Linked DNA regions of Lonchura striata. The protein of the gene in region 2 interacts with the protein of the main gene of each other region in a biochemical or structural test. Links are inferred from orthologs where the notes say so. Each region holds a gene or a part of one and is shown on either strand. Other genes may lie near its edges.

Region 1 (10,294 bases), on a different chromosome or scaffold from region 2:
AGGGCACCCCCCCCTCAGGCATTGGGGGCTTCACCAAGCAGGGCTGGCAGGCAGGCACAGAAGGATGAAGTGGCAGGGGGCGAGCAGGACCCCCCTCCCCGAGTGCCCCCCAGGTGCTGGGCTGGGCCGAGCAGCCAGGGCTGCAGGGGGGCCCATGCCAGCAGCATGGGGGGCCCCCGGAGCCAGAGCCGAGCGGACAATACCTCTGTGCCATGCACTTTGGGCGCACCCTGCGCTCCGGAGAAGGCAGCGGAGGGAAGAACAGGACAAAGGCGGATGTTAAACGCGCGGGCACGCTGACCCCCCCACCCCCCAGGGATGCTCCAGTGACCAGGGTCCCCCCTCAGCCCAGCGGGGACGCTGGGGGGGACGTGGGACAGGGCAGCGGGGCCACAGGTGCCAGGCACTCACCTGTCAGCCATCTGCGGGATGATGTAGTGCCCGTTCTTGTGGTCTGCACAAAGAGAGGGGTGGTGAGCAGGGCCACGTGCTCCCTCCAGGGTGACCCCCTCACCCCAGGACCCCCTCTCTCACCCGGCTTCCTGCCGCAGAGGTAGAAGGCCAGCCGGTCGGTCAGCTCGTACTGGCACTCCACCAGCCGCTCCGCCAGCTCGTGCTGGGCTGCCTGCCTGTGGGAGGGCCGGCAGGGGTGATGCCCACCCTAGGTGGGGGTGCAGGCAGGGGTCACCCCCTTCCCTGCCCTCACCTGGCATAGTCAATGGGCGTCCGGCCGTTCACATCGGGCGCCCCAGGGTCGGCACCGTAGACCACCAGCAGCTCTGCCTGCAGGATCTGCCCGGCCTTGGCGGCCACGTGTAGCGGTGTGGTGCCCTTCTCCTGCGGGCATGGGCAGCCTCAGCCCTGCAGCCTGCACGTGGCGTGAGGCTCCAGGACCCCCCTGGGCCCCACTCCACCTCTGGGGTCCCTGGGCCCCACCAGAGCTCACCGGGTGGAAGAAGTTGGCCTGGGCACCCAGCGAGAGCAGGCGCAAGCAGGTCTCCAGGTTACCCGTCCGCACGCTCGAGTGCAATTGCTGCAGAGGAGAGAGCTGGTAATGGGGGGATCTGTCCTCACTGCCATAGTGGGGGTCCCTGAGCCGCCACTCCACCTTGCTGAGGTCCTTGGCAGTGACACCGTCATCATCCCGGCAGGGCAGCTTGTGGACGAAGGCCAGCATCTGGTACTTGGCACGGATGAACTCCGACTTGGTGGGGCTGGGTGTGAGCAGTGGGTTTTGGGTGAGGAGGGGGCTTGCAGCCAGTGCTGACCCCCTCCCCACAGCACAGGGGACACTTACTGCACTTTGTCCTGGGGGTTTGCCTTCCGGCGCCCGCTCTGCACCTGCGCTGGATCCAGCAGCGAGTGCTCCCAGATGGAGTTGGCCCCGTTGCTCGCCAAGGTGTGCACCATCTGCAGGGGACAGGCAGGGCCCAGTGGGCGGGGGGGGGGGTCCCAGTGCGCATCTCCCCCCGTTCCAGTGTCCCCAGCACCCACCTGGAGCAGGGTGGCGGGCCAGGGGCTGTGGCGCAGGTGCTTGACGATGGAGATGTGGCGGCCCAGGCTGCGGTGCACGCTGCAGCACTCGTCGCAGATGAGCACCCCGCGGTTGATCGACGCCCAGCCAGGGTCTGGGGGTGGCATGGGGGTGTCAGCGGGTGTCCCCTCCCCGTGCGGTCCCCTCCTCATGCATCCATCCAGCAGGGGGGATGCGTTGCCACAGCAACCATTTCCCGGGAGATGGAGAGGGGCTCGGCCCATCACCAGGGGAAACCCACGGGTTTCCCATAGCAACCGCCAGCCAAAAGGGGGGCAGGGTTTGGCCCCCCACCATCAGGAGGACAGCTGGTGGCAGGGATGATGCCAGCACACTCTGATCAGGGGCACCCTGGCTCACTGCGAGGTCACTCACCCCCGGAGCCCCTGGCTGGGTGTTGGGGGGTCCTGGATGGGGGCAGTGTGTCCCACAAGGGGTGGGCACCCCCAGTCCATGGGCTCCTAGGTAGGGTGGTCACCAGCTCTGCACCCTCAGCTCCGCAGCGCAGCCAGCCCACAGGACACCCCAGCCCCGGGGCAGGTGCCATGGCCCCCCAGGCTGCCGTGCCCCTCCAGCCCCGCCGCTGGCCCCGGCCGGCTGGACTGGAGCCCTTTGTGTCCCCGCTGGGAACAAAGGATCGTTTGAGCAGCCGCGCTGGCCCCGCGCTGGCACCAGCCCCGGCACCCGCGGGGGCACCGCTCCCGGCCAGGCAGCGGCTCCCCACGCCTGCACCCCAAAAACAGGTCCTGGGGACGAGGGGGCCTGGCCCCGTGGTGTGGCCGTTGAGCTGCAGCTGTTCACAGCAGCATGAGGACAGGATTTGGGGACCCCCGCTGGGTCACAGCCCCTCTCCCCCCCGGGAAAGGCAGCCAGGCACGGATGCTGAATCGCTGAATCGTTCCCAGGTGTCCCCTCCGCCAGGCACGACGGGGCAGTCCTGCCACCCTCTGCCCAGCCCCACCCCATCCCCTCGTTTCTGTAGGTCCTACACAAACGCCACACTGTCCCACGGCGGGGGGCAGCCCCACGCCCGGGGATACAGGGCCTGGGGAGGTGACCACACTGACCTGCCCGATGGCCCTGAGCCCCCAGTGGCCCCACGACCTCACAGAGAGAGGAAGGCAGGCAAGCAGCCAAGCCTCCCCCACTTCCTTCCTCCCTGCAGGGTCCCGGACCCCTCCCCACGCACCCCCCCAGAGCCCTGAGGACACCGTGCTGGGGGGCACGGCATCCTGCCATGCTGCAGTGCCCCGGGGCCGGGGTGGGGTGGCCCGGGGGGAGCGGTGGCCCCCCCAGCCTGGCAGCCCCTCGCACGCAGATGGCAGCGCCTTGGCAGCCGGTGCGGCGGCATCTGCGCCTTCGCACCCGCTGCCCACGGCCACCGCCGGGAACAGGACGCTCCGTGCGGGGGGAGCCGGCCCCTCCAAGCGGGTGGATCCAGAATATCCCTGGGGCAACAGCCCCTCCCACCCTAAAACCGCTGGGATGTGGTGGGATGCGGGCGGGCACTGCAGCAGATCGTGGAGTGCTCGCACAGGGACACTCCAAACCCTGGCAGGATCCTGGAGTCCAAGGGAGCTCGCAGCACCTCGATCCCCGCATCGGGATGTGCGCTGGCACCGGGACCGCCAGCGCTCGGCCCCGCACTGGCGATGGCAGGGCTGGGGCCAGCCGGCATCCCTGCGTGGGGCCGAGGGAGGCCGGGCACAGGGACCAGCGCATCCCACGGGCACCTCCCCACGCAGGGCCAGGCAGCGCATCCCCGGCAGCGACAGCGGGTGCTCCCAGCGCGCTAGGAAACGGCCTCTGGACTTTATAACTCATTTCCTCCCATGGCTGCCAGGCGATAAGAGATTGGAAGAGACTGGTTTCCATTTCCCCTGGCCGCAGAAGGGAGCCCCGGCACCGCCCCGGGAACCCCTGGCCCCCCGCTCGCCCGCCGGCACGGGGGATGCCAGGAGGCAGGGCAGCCTTTCGCCCACGCGTGCCGACAGCTCTCCTGGCAGGATCCGGCCATTGGCACGTGGCCGGAATAATTTCGGCACAGCCTTGGCCCGCGGGCAGCTTTCCGGGGCCGGCTCGGAGACCCGTTCATTCATTGCCGTGGGGCCACCTGCACCGGCTACGGGCAGGTTTGGGGTCCGGCCCTACCGTGGGCAGGGTTTGGGGGGCCAAACCCTCCGCGCGTGCCCAGCGTGGGGGCTGTGGGCACGGGCACCGCCGGGGATGGGAATGGTCTTGCCCAGGCTCGGCTCCGGCTTGCAGCGCGGCGGCCGCCGGGCTCACCCAACCGGCACCGCCAAGCCCGGATCCGGCTGGGGTGGGTGCCGGCTGTGGGGTGCAGGGTGTCCCCCATCATCCTGCCATTTACAGGGTCACCAGCGCTGCTGGCACCGACCGGCGCGCCCCCAGCCTGTGCCAGCAGCCCCCGCGCTGGGGTGAGAACGCCGTGGGTGGTGCAGGGGGGCGTGGGGCACACGGGGCGCGCTGGAGCGGCACGGAGGAGGGCATGCGGGGGTATCGGGGCTGCGTCTCGGGTGTATTCGGGCATTCCAGGAGGCTAAAAGGGGGTGCACCAACGGGGTCATGGGTTTCATCAAAGCGTTTCACTGGGGGCACATCAGAGGGCTCCTGGGGGGAAGGAGGGGGACTCCATGGGGCTCCCTCGGGTGCGCAGAGTGGGGCGCAGAAAGGAATCACCAGGGCGACCCTGGGGGCACTCAGGGAGGTGCAAAGGGGTCTCGATGTGGGGTGTAGAAGGAGATGCAAAAGGGGTCACGGGGAGCAGTCCGGGGGCAAGCACCCCGGGGTGCAGCGGGGGCTGGCGGGGCTGCGGGGCCGCCCCGGGGGCTCTCGGCGGCGCGGGGGGAGCGCAGGGCAGGCTCCGGGGGGCAGCAGGAGGCGCGGGGGGGCTGGCGGGGCCGTGCCGGTGCCGATGCGGGGGGGCCCTTACCTGGGGCGCTGCAGTCGGCGCACACCTCTGCCCGCGGCGCCTTCCGGGACATCCTCAGCGGCGAGGCGGGCCCGGGCCCGGGCCTCTGCGCCAGCGTGGGGCGGCGGCGGCGCCCCCGGGCCCGCCGGGGGAGCGGCGGCGGGGAAGGGGTGGGGGGGGCCGGGCAGCGGGGAGGGGGCGGCGGGGCCCGGGCGGCGGGGCCGGGGGCTGCCGGCTGCTCCCAGCGCCCGGCGGCTCCGCAGGAAGCGGCGCAGGCCCGGCCCCGGCGGAGGAGGGGCCGCACCGCCCCCGCCCCGCCACCGGCAGCGCCGCCGCGGCCGCCCCGCACCGGCACCGGCACCGCCCCGCACTCGCAGCCGCACCCGAACCCGCACCGGCGCCGGCACCGCCCCGCACCGGGACACGCACCGGGACCGCCCCCGCCCCGCACACGGACCCGGACGCGCACAAGAATTCGTGCGGACACCGGCACCGCTGCACACACCCGCACCGGCGCCGCCCCCGACCCGCACCCGCACCTGCAAACGCCCCCCGGACAGCCCGGTCCCGGACCGGGGCACCTCACCTGCTCCTGGGCGTCAGCACTGCCCTTGCTCTGATCCCGGGCATCCCCTAGCCCTGACCCCGTGCCCGTCCTCGGTGCACTCCCGGTCCCATTTTCATTTTGTCCTGGTCCTCCTCCCCGCCCTTGTCCTGTTTATCCTGGAGGGGTGGCACTGATCTCATTCCTGTACCGGGTCCCGTGTACCCCCAGTCCCAGCCCAGGGCACCCCCAAATTGCTGCAGTCCTGCTCTGGACACTTGTTCTGGATCCAGCCGCAGTCCTGGGGCAGCCCCAGCCCTCTTCCCCATGCCACCTCTGACGCTGTGTACCCCACTCCCGGACACACCCCTTCTCCAGGACACTGGGTTGGGCCACACACCCCTTTATGGTGCTCCACTGGGGATTTTGGGGGTGGGTGGGGAGGACTGGGGACTGTATGGGGTCTGCTCCCTCCTGCGACCCTTTAGGTACCAGAGGGGACACCGATGGGTGCCCCACAGCCAGCCGGGGGGGTCAGACCCCAGCAGGAGCGGGGTCGCATGGTGTCCCCCCGCCGTGGGGCAGGCGGGGTGGCCTCACCGCGGGCTGCTCACGACATCATGGGGCAGCGGGGACGGGGGATGCTGTGCGGGGACAGGGGCGGGGGGATGCGACCACCGCCACGGCCGAGCAGAGAACAACAGCGGGGGGCTCCTCCCATGGCAGGGTGGGGAGCAGCGGGGTGCGGGGCCGGGAGCGTGGCGCCGGCGGAGGCCGGGGCGGCCGCAGAGGCCCAGCCTTGCATTGTTCTCGGGCGGCAGCCGGAAAACGCGACGCCCGCCCGGGAGAGACGCGGGCGGAAAAGGAAACGGGGCTGGGGCCCCCGTGCCTGGTGCTGCGGGGCCGGGAGTCGGGGTCCCCCCACCTGGTCCCCACCTGCCGCCTTCACCCCTGCCCCACCATATGCCCGGGTCCGCTGCCCCACCGGGGGAGCGGAGATCAGCTGGGAAGGGGAAGATCAGCCTGGGAAAGGGGGCAATGTGGGGAGGATGCTAATCGCCAATGGGGCGCCCCTTCGCAGGTCCCCCCCGCGGGATCGGAAGCCGCGGTGATGGACTGAGCGGTGCGGGAGGGGGGGGCGAGGAAAGAGGAGGATGAAGATGAGGAAGGAGAAGGGGGCGATGCCGGGCAGGGCAACTACAAGTCCCATGAGGCCGGGCGGTGCGGGGGGGCCGGGGAAGCACCGGGCGGGAGGTGGTGGCCCGCCCCGCCCCGCGCCCCCCCGCCCCGCGCCGCGCCGCCCCGCGCCGCGCCCGCCGCGCCGCTCCAGCATGCACGGAGGATGCTCGCGTCTTGCTCGGGCAGGAAGGGGCCGGAGGGCAGGTACCCGCTGCACTACCTCGTCTGGCACAACCGCGCCCGTGACCTGGACCGGGAGCTCAGCGCCAAGCAGGTGGGGCGGCGCGGGGACACTCCCGGCACGGCCCGGCCCGGCCCGGCTCCGCTCGGGCTGATGCAATGCTCGGGGCCGGGGTGAGGATGAGGATGGAGATGAGGGGGGTGATAAGGATGGGGTCGCTCTCTGCGCTGGCGGGGCTCTGGGGGTGCGCTGTGTGTCCCCACCCGCACCCCGGGACTGTGCCCGCTGTCCCCGGGGCTGCCAGGGAGCGGTGGGTGCCACCCGCGGGTCCCCTGCATCCTCCAGCACACGCAGCCCCGAGCAGCCCTCCGCACGTGTCCCCGGCTCCCTGCTAGGCCTCTGCAGACCCCCGGCCCGCACCCCGCTTCTCAGGGTATTGCCAGCCCCCTGGGGGTGCAGCATCAGCTCCGCACCCTCAGGCTGAGCCCCTGGGGGCGGGGGGACAAGGGCCCTGATGCTGTCGGGGCGCAGCCCCCCAGCCCCACAAGGGTTCTCCTCATGGTGAGGGGACCCACTTTGTCCCTCAGCCAGGGAACCTCCCAGCCGCCTGGTGATGGAGCGGGGTGTGGGTGCTTCCCCGGCGGGTTCCCAGCCTCCCTCTCCCCCGTGGCGATGCAATTCAGGTAATTAAAACCCAACCCCGAAGACGCAGGAAACCGCAGGCGCTGGAGGGAGGCTGGCGGGGAAGCTGTGCTGAGCATCCCCAGTCTCTCGGCCCGGGTTCCCAAACCCCAAGGCACCGAGGGCCGTGCTGGATGGACCCTGGTGATGCGTGAAACGGGGGTCATTGTGCCGCGAAGCTCCCGCCGGGATGCAGGCGATGGCTCCCGCCACACCCGTCTCTATTGTGGGGTCCAGCCGGAGGCTGCGCCAGCATCGCCCCGGTCTCCCACCCCATGGCCAGTGTTTTTATTTTCGTGCTAATTTGGGGTCAGTCTTCCCGGGAGCTCAGCGCGGGCGGAGATCAAAGCTGGGCTCGGCAGCTGGGGAGGTGGAGGGGCTGCGGGGGGGCTCTGACCCGCTCGCTGCAGGGAGAATCCAACCCTCCAGCCTGGCTCTGCCCTGGCCCCCGCTGGCATTTGCTGGGTGAGAGCAAAGCCAGCCATGTGTGCACCCCAGGGGTGAGGGGGAGGAGGGGGGGAGCGTGGGTGCTGCAGGCCAGACTCTGGGGCAGGTGGGGGCTTGGGGGAAGGAGGTGAGGGCCAGCCCAGGCTCCCTGCTCTGTCCAGGGCATCCAGGGACACAGCTCAGCCCTTATCCCTGCCAGAGCATCCCCCGGGTGAGGGGCTGGGGCTGATGCTGTGTGAAATGCTGGAGGCTGGGTGCCCCCCTACCCAGGGCTCTTCCCTTCCTCTGTCCTGGTGACCCCCACAGGGCAGTGGCTCCACGTGCTGCCCCTCCCCAGTGCAGGTGTTTGGGGTTGGGAAGCACTGGGGCAGCTGACAGCATTGTTCCTTTCCTTGTCCTCATAAGGGTTCTATGTCTGTCACCCCCAAATTGTCACCATGGGCTCCCATCCACACTTGCCTCAACAAGGGAGCAAGGGTCAGTGGGTCCCCTTGACAGGGACATCACGAGGATGTGGCAGGCAGTGCCATGGAGCCTGTTGTGCCAGGACACCCCTCACCACAGCCTGCCCCCTCAGGCGTGACAGGGACCCGGGGCTGAACGGGGACACCAGTGCCTGGCACCATCTCTGCGTGCTGGCTCGTGTCCCCTGTTGCTGCCCAGGAGCAGGAGCTGGGGTTCTCCAACCCAGGAACAGCCCCAGTGGAGGAACGTGCTGTGCCACGTGCCCGGCTGGCACAGGAGGAGCGACTGAGCTGCGGTTCTGCACTGCACCGCTGCCACCCCAAAGCCACCCCTCCCTGTCCTCATCCCCGGTGGCTGTCACGGCCCCAGGATGGGCAGCACCTGGAGGTCTGTGCTGTGTTCCCCAAGCTGGAGCCAGCCCAAGAGCAGGGCTCAGAACTGAGCTCTTGCTGGCAAAATCTGGGTCACGCCAATGTCCCCTGGGGTGGCTCCAGCACCGTGTCCCCACACTGGGGACCCTCATCCTGCCCAGTGCTGGGGCAGGGCGGCAGCTGGGGAGCCCCACTGAGCCTGCTGCCCCCGCCCACAGCTGGGGGGTGATTGCCTTAATTAGAGCAGTTTCATTAGTGCAATTAAGAAGCAGCAGTCGCCTGGAGAGCATTGGAGCGATACGTTGCCTCCCAGGGAACTGGGGGGCTGTTTTACTCCAGTGGTGTGGGCAGACTGGGGGGGTCCCCCTACCTGGTGAGTCCCTGGGGATGAGGGACACGGGAATGCACAGCCTGGGCAGGGACAGGAACATCCCTGAGCAGCAGCAATGCAGGACATGCCCAGAGCAAGGCAGGGATGTGCTGCAGGTGAGACTTTGGGGTACCAGGGAGCCCGTGCTCCACCTCTGCCCATGTCCAAACATCTCTGCCTTCCTGGTCCCAGCTGGCACCTATGGGTCCTGCACCCCACCTTTGTTCTCCTGTGGGTGGCCTCCCCAAAACCAATTATTTGGGCACTGCCCCACTACCTCCTGCCGTGGCTCTGGGCACTTCTACTCCAGCTTGCTGCTGGGGGCACAGAGGGTGCCCACCCTTCCTGAGCCATATCCCCAGCTGGGCATGGGTGTGACGCTGCTTCCCACATGGGCAGCAGGGCCCGGGGGTGCCGGGGTGCCCACCCGCCGCCGCACCAGGGATTCCTCAGGGCTGGCTGGGTGCCAGGCTCCGGGTTTGGCACAAACAGCGGCGGCTCCCCAGGGCCCCGGGGATCCTCGGAGCCGCCCGCCCCCGGCTCAGGCAGGGGAACACGTGCGCCCACCGCAGCCGCATCGCCCCCCGCGCTCCCGCCCTGCCGGAGGGGGCTGCCGGCAGCTGCTGCCTGGCAACTGGGCACAGCCCCCTCCACATCCCAGAGGTGGGGGCTTTGCTGGAGCGTGCAGCTGCATGGAAATGTGCAGAGCTGCGTGCACTGTGCCAGGGGCATCTGTGCCCCCCACTGCCATGGCGTGCTCCTGCTCTGTGCCCTCCTGGTGGGTGCAGCCCAGACTGGCTGTGATGAGGTGTGCTGGGTGCTGGCAGCCACCGTTGTGCTTTTCATGCTCTCTCCATGGGTCTGGCAGTGGCAGCAGGGAGGTACCTCTCTTGGGAGAGGTCAGGGTGGGGCTGCTCTCCTATACTGTCAAATGTTGGCTGCTTTCTGTGTCTGGGAGCTGTACATCTGTGGGAGAGCACTGAGGAGGAAGGTCTGGCCACCCCAGTGATCTCAAAGCCTCATTCCTTCCTGGCAGGCCGACATCGAGCAGCTGGACCCCCGAGGACGCACTCCCCTGCACCTGGCCACCACGCTGGGCCACCTCGAGTGTGCCAGAGTGCTGCTGAAGCATGGCGCCGACGTGGGCAAGGAGAACCGCAGCGGATGGACAGGTGAGCGGGTGGCTGCTGCCCTCCATCCTCCTTCAAGCTGCCCCGATGCAGGCGTGGGCATGGAGATGGGCGTGGGCATGAGCATGGACACAGATGTGGACATGGACATGGGCATGAACATGGGCACAGGCATGGCCATGGTGCTGCAGCTCCCCAGGGCGCTGCTGCTGTGGTGCTCCTGTGCAGCGCCCAGCTCTGCAGTGCCATGCTGTGCCATGCTGTGCCACGGCCCTGGACACTGCCCCTTTGCCCCACAGTCCTGCAGGAGGCTGTGAGCACCCGTGACCTGGAGCTGGTGCAGCTGGTCCTGCGCTACCGTGACTACCAGAGGGCCATCAAGCGCCTGGCGGGGATCCCTGTCCTGCTGGAGAAGCTGCGCAAGGTACCTCCCTCGGCAGGGCGGCGGGGCCGCGGCCAC
Region 2 (10,534 bases):
GAAAAAATATAACACAGCTGTTATTTTATTAAATTTAAAGACTTTACCCTCCTTGAAATACACAGCTAAACAACTGGTCATTTGAGGCAGTAGTTCAAAAGAATGCTCAGCTTGAAATAATTAACAAGAAAGTTTGAATAGTTTCAAATATTAGTCACTACAAAGTTTTGACAGTGAACACATATTAGAATTTTTTTTAAAAATTGTTTCACCCCATCAAAAATTTGCACCCATGAAGTAACTGACTCTACCATAACAACAACAAAAACTGCCCAAATCAGAGGTTACTTCTGATGTATCAAGAGTAATGAAAATATTTCTGATTTTTGAAACCACAATAATGTGAGCTAAGTATCACTAGGGACAAACGCAGATGTTCCACAGGATGAAAAGAGTATTTTCCAACAACAATCTACAAAAATCCATACACTGCTGTATTTTTACATAAAATTGCAGTAAAATTTCTCTCTCAACTGACTTGCTTTTCCAACAGATTTCACATGAAACCATGCAATTATGGCATTTTTGAAAAGGGGAACTGTTTATTAATTTTCCAGAAATGTTTAGAAAGTGATGGTTACATGCAAGTAGCCAACTATATTTAGGAAGGAAAGCTGAGAACTGAAAAGGCAAAAGGGGAACAGCAGAGCTGAGAGCTGGGATGATTCTGCTCAGCACAAACTCAGGTCTAACAGTCTGCAGGTCATGTAAGTGGTTAATGGCCTTCATTAATGTAGCACACCTGACACAGAGGATAAAAAGCTACGATTATTAGAACAAAAAAAACCAAAGAATTACGTTTGCCTGCAGCACGTGATTTAACACAGGCAGTAGCGAAGGTTCAAAACTTCTCCTTTCTGATTTTCATCATTGTAACAGAACTAGATTAACACATTTCATTTCCATCCATCAGTAATTACCAGCACCAATTACCATACCAAGGATCATACAGTGATTACATTATAATGAGAGCAGTGAAACAAACCACTGTTTGAAAGGGTATAAACAGTAACTACAATATTTAAGGATATGGGAACATTTGTAAAAGTCATAGCACCATTGTGCCACATTTGGGACAGCAACCACCACACCAGAAAGACCAAGGCTGTCAACAGTTAACCAACACCTCAAAGCAACCCCTGCTTTGCCTACAGCCAAAGGCTTCTCAATATGTTCAAAGTCCAGTTTTATTTTTAACTCAAATGGATAAAACCCAAAGAGTTCTGCAGAGACCAATCACCTTTCCTAACAATGCTCCTTACGTAACAAACCTAGCACTGCAGGCCACGTGCATTCTCCACAAGGCACTAATTAGGAGCTCCTAACAGGACGAAAAAAAAAAAAAAAAGCCAAATCCAAACTTTTCAAAAGTAACTAAACAGGTTAAACAACACACTCAGACTTCTATATTGCCATGACAACTCAGCATGCATTCACAAGGCAGTAGCCTTCAAGGTTTTAAATCAAAGTCTTTAATAGAGTCAAAATGGTCTGTATGGAATTCATAGAATCCCAGAATGGGATTGGAAGGAACCTTAAAGACCATCCAGTTCCAAACCCCTGCTGTGGGCAGGGACACCTCCCACTAGACCAGGTAATAATTCTTAAGTACCTTAATGAATCAGGCAATTAAGAAATAGCATTTAAAAAGTACTAGTTGCAGAAAAAGGTCCATCAAGTTCTATTAGACAAAAGATGTAGACACCATTCTACGTTTATGCTAAGGAAATTCCAGAAACTGGGAAAGCAGACTGGAGAGAAAGGGCTGTTCTTCCCTGCTTTCCTTGCTTTTGCATCTTTCTCAAAGTGAGCAAACACCAAAAAATCCTTCAGGATAGATTCATCTTCCCCTAAGACAACCTAACTCTTCAGTAAACCAAACTACAGAAAGCCAACAGCACACCACGAAGAACACAAAAATCATTGAAAAACCCCTTGCCTTCCCAAACGTCCATACCTGTGGAAGTGCAGTATTGAGCTGCCTCTGCAAGGAATCCCTCTCATGGCCAACCTCATGCAGCTTGCCCTGGGTGAGCGCGAGCGTCTCCTGAGTTTCGCGGAGCGTTTCCAGCAGGCGATCCCTCTCTTCCAGCATGGACACCATTAACTGCTCAAAGTGGGAATCAGCATCTGACTGCAACGGGGAACCTGAACCGTGGCCTCCATTTCCCCCGGTGGGAATCTCGGCCTCACTGATGGTTGGCATCACCTCACACATCATCTTGAAACAAAAACGAGACACAACAAAGGCCAGAAATCTCGGTCAAACAAATCTAAACAGGAACTTTGAGTGCTGCCCGTAGTACCCACTTAGCTCTCCCCACGATAGCATCAGCAAAGGCTGCCAACACCTTGGCGTTTGCCACTATTTCATTAAGAGTGGAGAAAAGGTACACAGTCAACTTAATCAAGGCTTTGCTTCATAATGAGAATCTTGTGACTTCTTGCAAAACCAGATTTTTGCATCTATGTCTCAAACTGTGACTTCATTTTAACGGATTTATGCTTTTTTGAGGAGTAAACTGCTGCCGAGGTCTTTAAAAAAAAAAAAAAAGATAAGGCATGCAGCCTGACACCAAAAATTATACACTTCACCCAGCAAACTATTACACTGCACATTTTGGGAAACATTATCTGCTTCTTCCACTGCTTCAAATGTACAAAGATTGTATCTACAACAGTACTTTGAGCGTATGTTGACTGTGGAAGTTTTATGATGGTGAAAGTAATGTATGGTAAATGAGTAGTAAATGAAAATGGTCCAATTCGGGAGATAAAAACATGTAAAGGAAGATAAAAATTCATTATGGAGTAGTAGCAGCTGTCAATGCGGACAGCAAAAGTAAAGGTAAGCAAAAATAATTAAAGGTAGAGGATGAATACAGTTAACAATGCAAATAGGAGGAGTGCACTACTGGAAGTGAGCACACAACTGGGAGCACCTTTGAGAGACCTTAACAGATCCCTACCAGAGCTAAGGCATTAAGGCTTTAAAAACCATGGAAAAAACCCACTCGTAAATCACTGAACCAACAACACAGTTCTTCAGGCAATCTCTCTCAAAAGCACAAATCTACAAGAACTTAAGCAAAAATCAAGAAAAGCAGCTCCCGAAACCTCTCAGGTACCACAAACTTTGCTCTCAGCCTTATATTTTACACTCACATCTGAAAAACAATCCATTCTGATTCTTACTGTCGGTCCTCTCAATACTTTGAAAGACTAGGAACAATCTGAAGTGCTTTGCAACATTTTCATGCATGATTACAATAAGCCCTGAACTTTCACCACTACGTTATTTACCTTGCTCAACAAAACGAAAAGGCTGTGAAAACAGGCCCCAGGTTTCCTGCAGCACCAGGTCTTCTTCTCTGTTTTAGCAGTTTTCTGTTATCCCCCAAAACCCTTTGGATTGCAAAGCACCCATCCAGCTCCAGTCCAGTAACTGTTTAATCGAAACACATGAAAAAAAAGAATAAACCTGCCGAGAAAAGAGCAGATCCGGTAAAAAGCAGCAGCTTCAGCTAACTCGCCAAGTCCCCAGTACAGAAGAATGTGAAAATAAACTGTCTCAGCTTCCCATCCCTCTATTACTGGCCCATAGGCCCTGCAACAGCTGGGATGGAGGAATCATGTGCTGACAAAAAAAGAAAAAATGTCCGATGCAGAGATGCAACAAGCTTCAACAGTTCATCGCTCATAAATTCCACTCAGGTCACAATCGCGTTACTAAACAGAGTACGGACAGCAGGGGAAAACAGCACGAGCTTTCGTGTAGAGGATTTGGAAAAGCCTCCCTTCTTTTCTCTTCTATTAATTCCAACGGGAAGCTCTCCTTCCAGTTCCCTGCGTCTTAGTTCAAACATTTATAATCCCGAGAGCAAGGCGCTGGCGTCCTTAGGAAGGCGAGCAGGGAGCGAGACCTGTTGTTTCCTCGGCACTAGTCCCACAGACGATGCTCCGCAACCGAGAGCGGGCAAAGAAAGCAGCCGGCAGCTCCGGGGGCACCGGCCCGGTGCCGCCGCTCCCCGTGCCCGCGGAGGGCCGGCTAGCAAAGCCGCGGGCGCAGGACGCCGGGCTCTCCCGCTGCCCCCGCCCGTCTCGGGGAGCACCGGGCCGGGCCTCGCTCCTCGCCTCGCTCGCTCCTCGCCGGAGGCCCCAGCGGCGCCGGGAGCGCGGCCGGCCCGGGCCCCGCGCAGCCCCTGCGGAGCGAGCCCGGCCGCGGAGGCCCCGGCGAGCCCGCCCTCGCTCCGGCCCCTACCGAGAGGCGGGGGCTCCGCCGCGCCGGGACGGTCCCCTCGGCCCGGGCCCGGCTCCGCCCGCCGCCGCCTCCACGTCCGTGGTGGCCGGCGCGGGGTCGGCTGAGGCCAGGTGGGTGGTGCCGGCCGCCCGCGGCGCCGCCGCGGCCTCAGGGGGCGGCAGAAGCGCTGCGCGCCCGGAGAGCCGCGATCGCCGCCGCGGCCCCGCCGGTCCCGGCCCCGCCGCGCCGCCGCCTCCTCCCGCCGCTCCCGGCGCGCTCCGCGGCCCCGCATAAATCAGCGCGGCGCCCACAATGCACCGCGCGGGGCGGCGCGGCCGCCGCTGCCCCGCTCCCGCCGCTGGGGACGGGGGTTCGAGACCCGCTCGGCGCTGCCCGCCCCGGGAGCGATACCGCCGCCGCCCACGGGAAAGCCGCAGCGGAGCCCCGGGGCAGGAGGCGAGCTCGGGCTGGGAACAGGGCAAGGCCGGAGTGGCCCCGCAGTCGCAGCGCCTCGCCCGGCCCCGCTGGCCCAAGCTGCTCCTGCGAGCCCAGGGGCTGGGACCGGCTCCGGGGAGCTCGGGCCGAAGCCATTGAGGGGCTGAGCGGGTCCAGAGGAGGGAATGGACCTGGGAAGGGTGTGAAGCACCAGCAGAGGCTGCGGGAGCTGGGGGCTCAGCCTGGACAAGAGCAGGGGATACAAGAGGACATTGACTTGAGCTGCCAGGATGGACATTAGGAAGACTTTCTTCACGCGAAGGGTGATCAGACATTGGAATGTGCTCCCAGGCAGGTGCTGGAGTCACCATCCCTGGAGGCGTCTAACGAAAGACTGGATGTAGCACTCACTGCCATGTCCTGGTTGACACCGTGGTGTTTGGTCATCGACTGGACTCAATGACCCCAGAGGTCTTTTCCAAGCTAATCCATTCTGTGATTCTGTGGAGCAGAGCTGCCAGGTCCTCGCACAGTGAAGAACAACTTCTCTGACTAGCCTGTTCCCCACAGGAAACTGGGTTTGGCTATGTTGACTATTATTTTTCCAAAACACCATAGAAATGTTTTCCCACTTGGATTTCTATAGCTTTTACTCTCTTCGTGGAGCCTTCACCATGCCCATGAGTTGAAAGTTGAAGTCTGCCAGGCAAAGCTTAGAAAACTCTCTTTCCTCTCTTCGCATTTGTGCTACCACCCTGAATAAAGTATTTGCATTTTGACCCTGTTGTTCCTTTTACAGTCGAAAGCTCTAAAAGGCATCAAGGGCCAGTTAGGCAGACAGAGGCAAGTCATGCCAAAAAGCAGCAGTCGCTGCACAGAAGGTTTTGCAGATTTGTGGCTGGATTATGTGAATTTATTTTTAAACACAACATCTCGACACCTAGCACTGGATAGAAAGGATCGCTAATGAGTCAATCTTCCTTTTCCACACACAAAATTCTTTACACATTTATTACACTGTGCTCTTTCCCTTTGGTATTTGAGCCTTTAGAGTGAATTCAAGTCACATTTTTTAAGTTTTCCCTGTACAGCCATGAGGTCTAGATTACATTTTTGTTTTTCCTCCTGAAGTTTCTAATGTAATCCCATGACTCTGGGAACTGGAACTTTGAGGAAAAAGCCAAATATGATGAGGGACATTCAAATAATGAATTCTGCTGAATATAGATCAGATTTAACACTGAATGTCTGAATAACTGAGGTCTGACTTTTCAATGTAGGAAGAATAGCAAAAAGATTCCAAAGTGAATTGTTATGAATTAATCTGTACATAGGTAAATGCTTTTATTTATAAGCTTTGATCCAGATTTTCAGTGGATGAAAAAGACTTCAGGCTAAGCAGCTGCCAAGGCAGCATCCTCAAGATAACCTGCTCCAGCAATACCAAAACAAGGCTGGAAAATAAAGTGGAGTTCATGGCTGTGTGAACAAATACCATTCCACTTCAGCTCGTCACACATAAAAAATGAAAATTAATAATGTTAGTAGAAAGACTGTTTTGGCCTGATTTGACGAGTCAAATGGAGACTTTGTGGATGAAAGGGCAAAAGGTTAAAGACTGTAACGGGCACAGAGTTGATAATCTCTCCCAAACTGGACACTGCAATATATCCAGTCGGATTAACTGATCTAGGAGCCAGGTCATGTGGAATAAATTAATGAACCTCTGTATTCATGTAGATCCTCAAACATGGAGTAACATTTTCTCTCAGTCTGGGTTGCCTTAGAACCCAGTGTCTTTTTCTTTTGAAACTAAGTTTTGTTTAGTCCTTAAGTGGTTAAAACCAAAAAATGAATATTTTCACCATTCTGTAATCCTACTTCATTATGAAAACAAAGAATCTAGGACACAATCCTGAATTAAGAATAAAAATGGATGAATTCTGTATATTAATTTTCACTTCACCCAGTTTGTTAACAAGGCACACTCACATTCAGCTTGCTCAGCTCTTCACATCTGTGGTTGGATTTCCCATCTAAGAGGCAGGAGGTTTTAGCTGCAGACCCTCCTCAGCCTCAAGGAGTTGTCACCTTTATCTCTGTTACCTTCAAATCACTCTGTACACAAGTTTCAGAGGAGGGTGGAAGTGCCAGTGTTTAGGCACTTTCTTGAGAAATCGGTTTCAGCCTCAGGTGGGAACAGAGTTCCCACAGCATATAAATGTCTGCTACATGAGAAGGAGGCGCTGTATTCATGCCCAAAAGGATGGCCTAGTCCAGGAGGGAACCTACATCCAGAATATCCTAGCTAAGGAATATGCTCCCATGTGGAATACTGCAAATACCTTCCTTAGGCAACAGGCTCTATGAATGCCACACAGAGCCCAGACTGTGGATCCAGCAGAGATTCTGAGGTGCCCCAAAAATATTTGAAAGGCCTGACTTTAAAGCCAATTGCTACTCCCATGTGCAGTCCACCAAAGCCGGGACCACATCAGCGGGGAAGGCCAGGACTTGAAATTCTAGAGAAAAAAATTGAATAACCAGATCTTTGCATAATGCTCTGTGCTGCACGAAATACACATGGAATGATTAAGTCAGAACTCCCAGGCTCTGCAAATACTAAAATATTTCTCAGTCCTATTTACTTTGTAGTACAAGGAAAACATTTTTTTTTTTTTTTTTTTTTTTCATTTCTCCTGGGCATGTAACCCAGGATATACCATCTAACATGAAGAACACCAGCAACTCAGATCTTTTTAATTAAATGAGTGTGATGTCTCTTTTGTAAGTTCAGCAAGAGGTCTGGCTCCCTGTTCATGTAATTTAGTGAGACGTAACACTTGTGGATGTGTCTGGAAAGAGCCCCACATACATCAGTTGACAGCAAAGTAATCAGTCCAGAGACCCAGGTTAAATCTCCACTCTTTGCACCTCAAAAACCACACGCTGAAATTCAAACAAAGACTGTTAAAAAAAAAAAAAAAAAAAAAAAAAAGGGTTGGGAGAAAGGGAAAGGTTTCCTTTATTGTCACATGATAAATTAGATCCTAATGTTTACCCAAGCTCAGCAAAGCAGGCAGCTCTTCCTGCCAGCCCGTGCCGGGTGAGGTGTGGGGTCGGGCCGGAGCTGCCCTGCCCGCGGGCTCTGAGGACAAACACCTGCTGCTCTCCGCTGACGGCTTCGCGCTTCATTTATGCCGAAATTTCCTTTGCGAGCCTCAGAGCCACCCCACGCTAGCACAAAACCTCTGCTGAAAATAGCCCAAGATCGCCTAGACAGTTGTTGGTTATTTTTTTCCCCCTCCCGAGTCGAGCTGATGGTATCTTATTTGCTCCTTGTCCTTTACAGATGACTTAATGACTTAGCAGCAAAGTGAATTTTGAACACATTTCAGGCATTTCATACCAAAATGGATAGATGTAAGAACAGGATTTTTGCCAGCAGCGCTGATTATCCTTTTGTCAGTAGATAGATGTGACCTGGACCATTCTGTTGCCATTAAAAAAGTCTCTAGAGGTTGCTACACAGAGGAGACACTTTGCCTGAGGGAGAAGGAATAAGAGGGAAGAGGCTGGAAGGTGGCCTGTGAAGAAGAGGACAGAGGTAATTAATGGTTATGCCCATGTATAAAGCTAAGTGCACCAGTAAATGTGTCAGCCCTTGGGCAATGGAAGCCACGACTTCTACAAACCTCAACACAGCACAGTCCTTTATATTGACATTTTATTTATATCATGTGGGTCTACACGGATCTGTGCCAGATCCAGGCAGGTGTAAATCAAATGGGAATTGGCTGCTCTGAAACTGAAGAGGGTTTTTGAATTGATCTTAAGATGAAAAGTCCCTATAAAGCCCCTGGAGACCTGGAGAGGACTCTTAAAAGACCAGATGAACTTACACAATTTATTTTAGTGGGAATCATACCTATGTCAAGACTGTAAATGTTTTTCAAATTTAGCTGTCACTCCTGCAACCAAAACCACACATTCTCACTCAAGTACAAACCTGCTGAGCTCGAAAAGGCTTTCAACTTAGTTTCAGCTTCAGTTATGCAATTTGCAGTTCAGAATTATTGCACCTGCTGTCTTTTCTGTATGGATTTACAGCAGTAGAAATCCCCTTGAGCTAGAAAGAACTTCTAAAGCCAAGTATCATTTATTTCAATCAGAAATTAAATACACCCCTAATATCCAATTCGAACATAGTACATTCCCTCAGTGTAGTCTGATTTCAGCATGTCTTCAGATAGTTTATAGCTATAATGAAAGGTATTGAGCTAAAAGTATATTCAGTTGCATGTTCAGGGCAATAGAGCTGCACATTATTTCGTTAAACATTTTTTAAAAGGTAATATTTTTCAGAAAGGCCATATTCGTGTAGCTGCAAATAATATTGGAAGAAGAAACTGAAGGATTCAGAACCAGCTGTGATAATACAGCTCCTGTGTAACTAGAGCAGGTCTGGATACATTCCACCTGGCTGACCACCTACAGTATGAACCCATTTACCCTGGCTTGCCTCTGTAATCAGTGGAGTGAGAGAGCCACTCCATGGGAGGAGTGATTCAGACCTTTGGTGTGGTCCATGAATCACCTGCTACAGGTGCCTATCTGTTCCCATTGGCTCCAGAGGGAGCCCAGGGCAGCTGGACTCTTGCCGTGGGAGCTGTGCTTGGATGTCTCAAGCAGCATGAGATGAATCTGGGTGTTGAATACGTGTGGGATCAGCATGGCTTGTTGCAGTAGGAAAGCAAGGGAAATGGATGTGGTTGTCCACAGAAATGAGCAGGGCTGTTCCTGGCTTCATTGCTGCGTATTTAGCAGCCCACAGTTTGTCTGTCTCAGTAATTTTAACTGGTCTGCAATTCAATGACTATATTTGCAAGACTGAAGCCTAGAGCTTCAGAGCCATGGCATCCTCTCAGGGTAGAGAATCACAGAAATACAGAATGGTTTGGGTCAGAAGGTACCTTAAAGACGATCCAGTTCCAACCCCCTGCCATGGGCAGGGATACCTTCCACTATCCCAGGCTGCTCCAAGCCCTGTCCAGCCTGGTCTTGAACACCTCCAGGGGTGGGGAGTCCATAACACCTCTGAGCAACCCATGCCAGTGCCTTATCACCCTCTTAGCAAAGAATTTATTTCTTATATATAACCTAAACCCGCCCTCTTGCAGCTTAAGGCCATTCCCCCTTGTCACTCCATGCCCTTGTCCAAAGTCCCTCTCCATCTCCCTTGTAGGCCTTTTAGGTACTGCAAGGGACTCTAAGGTCTCCCCAGAGCCTTTTCTTCTCCAGGATGAGCAGTCCCAAATCCCTCATCCTATCTTCATTCCAAGAGAAAATAATGCTGTTATTTTTATTCCAAACCCCCTGTTGACAGGTTGATCACAGAGTGAAGTCTACAGACACTGACCTCCTCTCCTCTCCTCTCCTCTCCTCTCCTCTCCTCTCCTCTCCTCTCCTCTCCTCTCCTCTCCTCTCCTCTCCTCTCCTCTCCTCTCCTCTCCTCTCCTCTCCTCTCCTCTCCTCTCCTCTCCTCTCCTCTCCTCTCCTCTCCTCTCCTCTCCTCTCCTCTCCTCTCCTCTCCTCCCCTCCCCTCCCCTCCCCTCCCCTCCCCTCCCCTCCCCTCCCCTCCCCTCCCTTGGGTTCTACCTGGATCACTTCAACATTGAAGCTTCAGCTTTTAGAATGTTTTGAGACCTGGTAAGAGAAAAAGAAAAAGACTGTGATAATATGTTTAATAAACTTTATAAATAGTTCAACTACAGGAAAACAAAAAGGATTTTTTGTATGCGAAGCAACATTTCTGTTCCTGTAAATCAGTGTTTGAAGGAAAAAAAATGGACTTTTTTT

The links. The genes of interacting proteins can lie anywhere in the genome.
Region 1: the proteins of PPFIA1 (region 2) and GIT1 form a complex in vitro, tested with the Homo sapiens proteins (2 studies listed by BioGRID). The link is inferred for Lonchura striata from reciprocal best matches to the Homo sapiens genes PPFIA1 and GIT1.

Annotation. Positions count from the first base shown.
Region 1 is NC_134622.1:7,765,187-7,775,480, forward strand, and holds the start of GIT1 (ARF GTPase-activating protein GIT1), read right to left. Parts: upstream 4,594-10,294; 5' UTR 4,540-4,593; coding exon 4,488-4,539; intron 1,629-4,487; coding exon 1,495-1,628; intron 1,411-1,494; coding exon 1,298-1,410; intron 1,215-1,297; coding exon 1,109-1,214; intron 1,034-1,108; coding exon 947-1,033; intron 838-946; coding exon 707-837; intron 630-706; coding exon 535-629; intron 455-534; coding exon 412-454; intron 231-411; coding exon 204-230; intron 1-203. UniProt on the Homo sapiens protein: GTPase-activating protein for ADP ribosylation factor family members, including ARF1.
Region 2 is NC_134608.1:54,939,105-54,949,638, forward strand, and holds the start of PPFIA1 (liprin-alpha-1), read right to left. Parts: upstream 4,071-10,534; 5' UTR 3,304-4,070; intron 2,222-3,303; coding exon 1,958-2,221; intron 1-1,957. UniProt on the Homo sapiens protein: May regulate the disassembly of focal adhesions. May localize receptor-like tyrosine phosphatases type 2A at specific sites on the plasma membrane, possibly regulating their interaction with the extracellular environment and their association with substrates.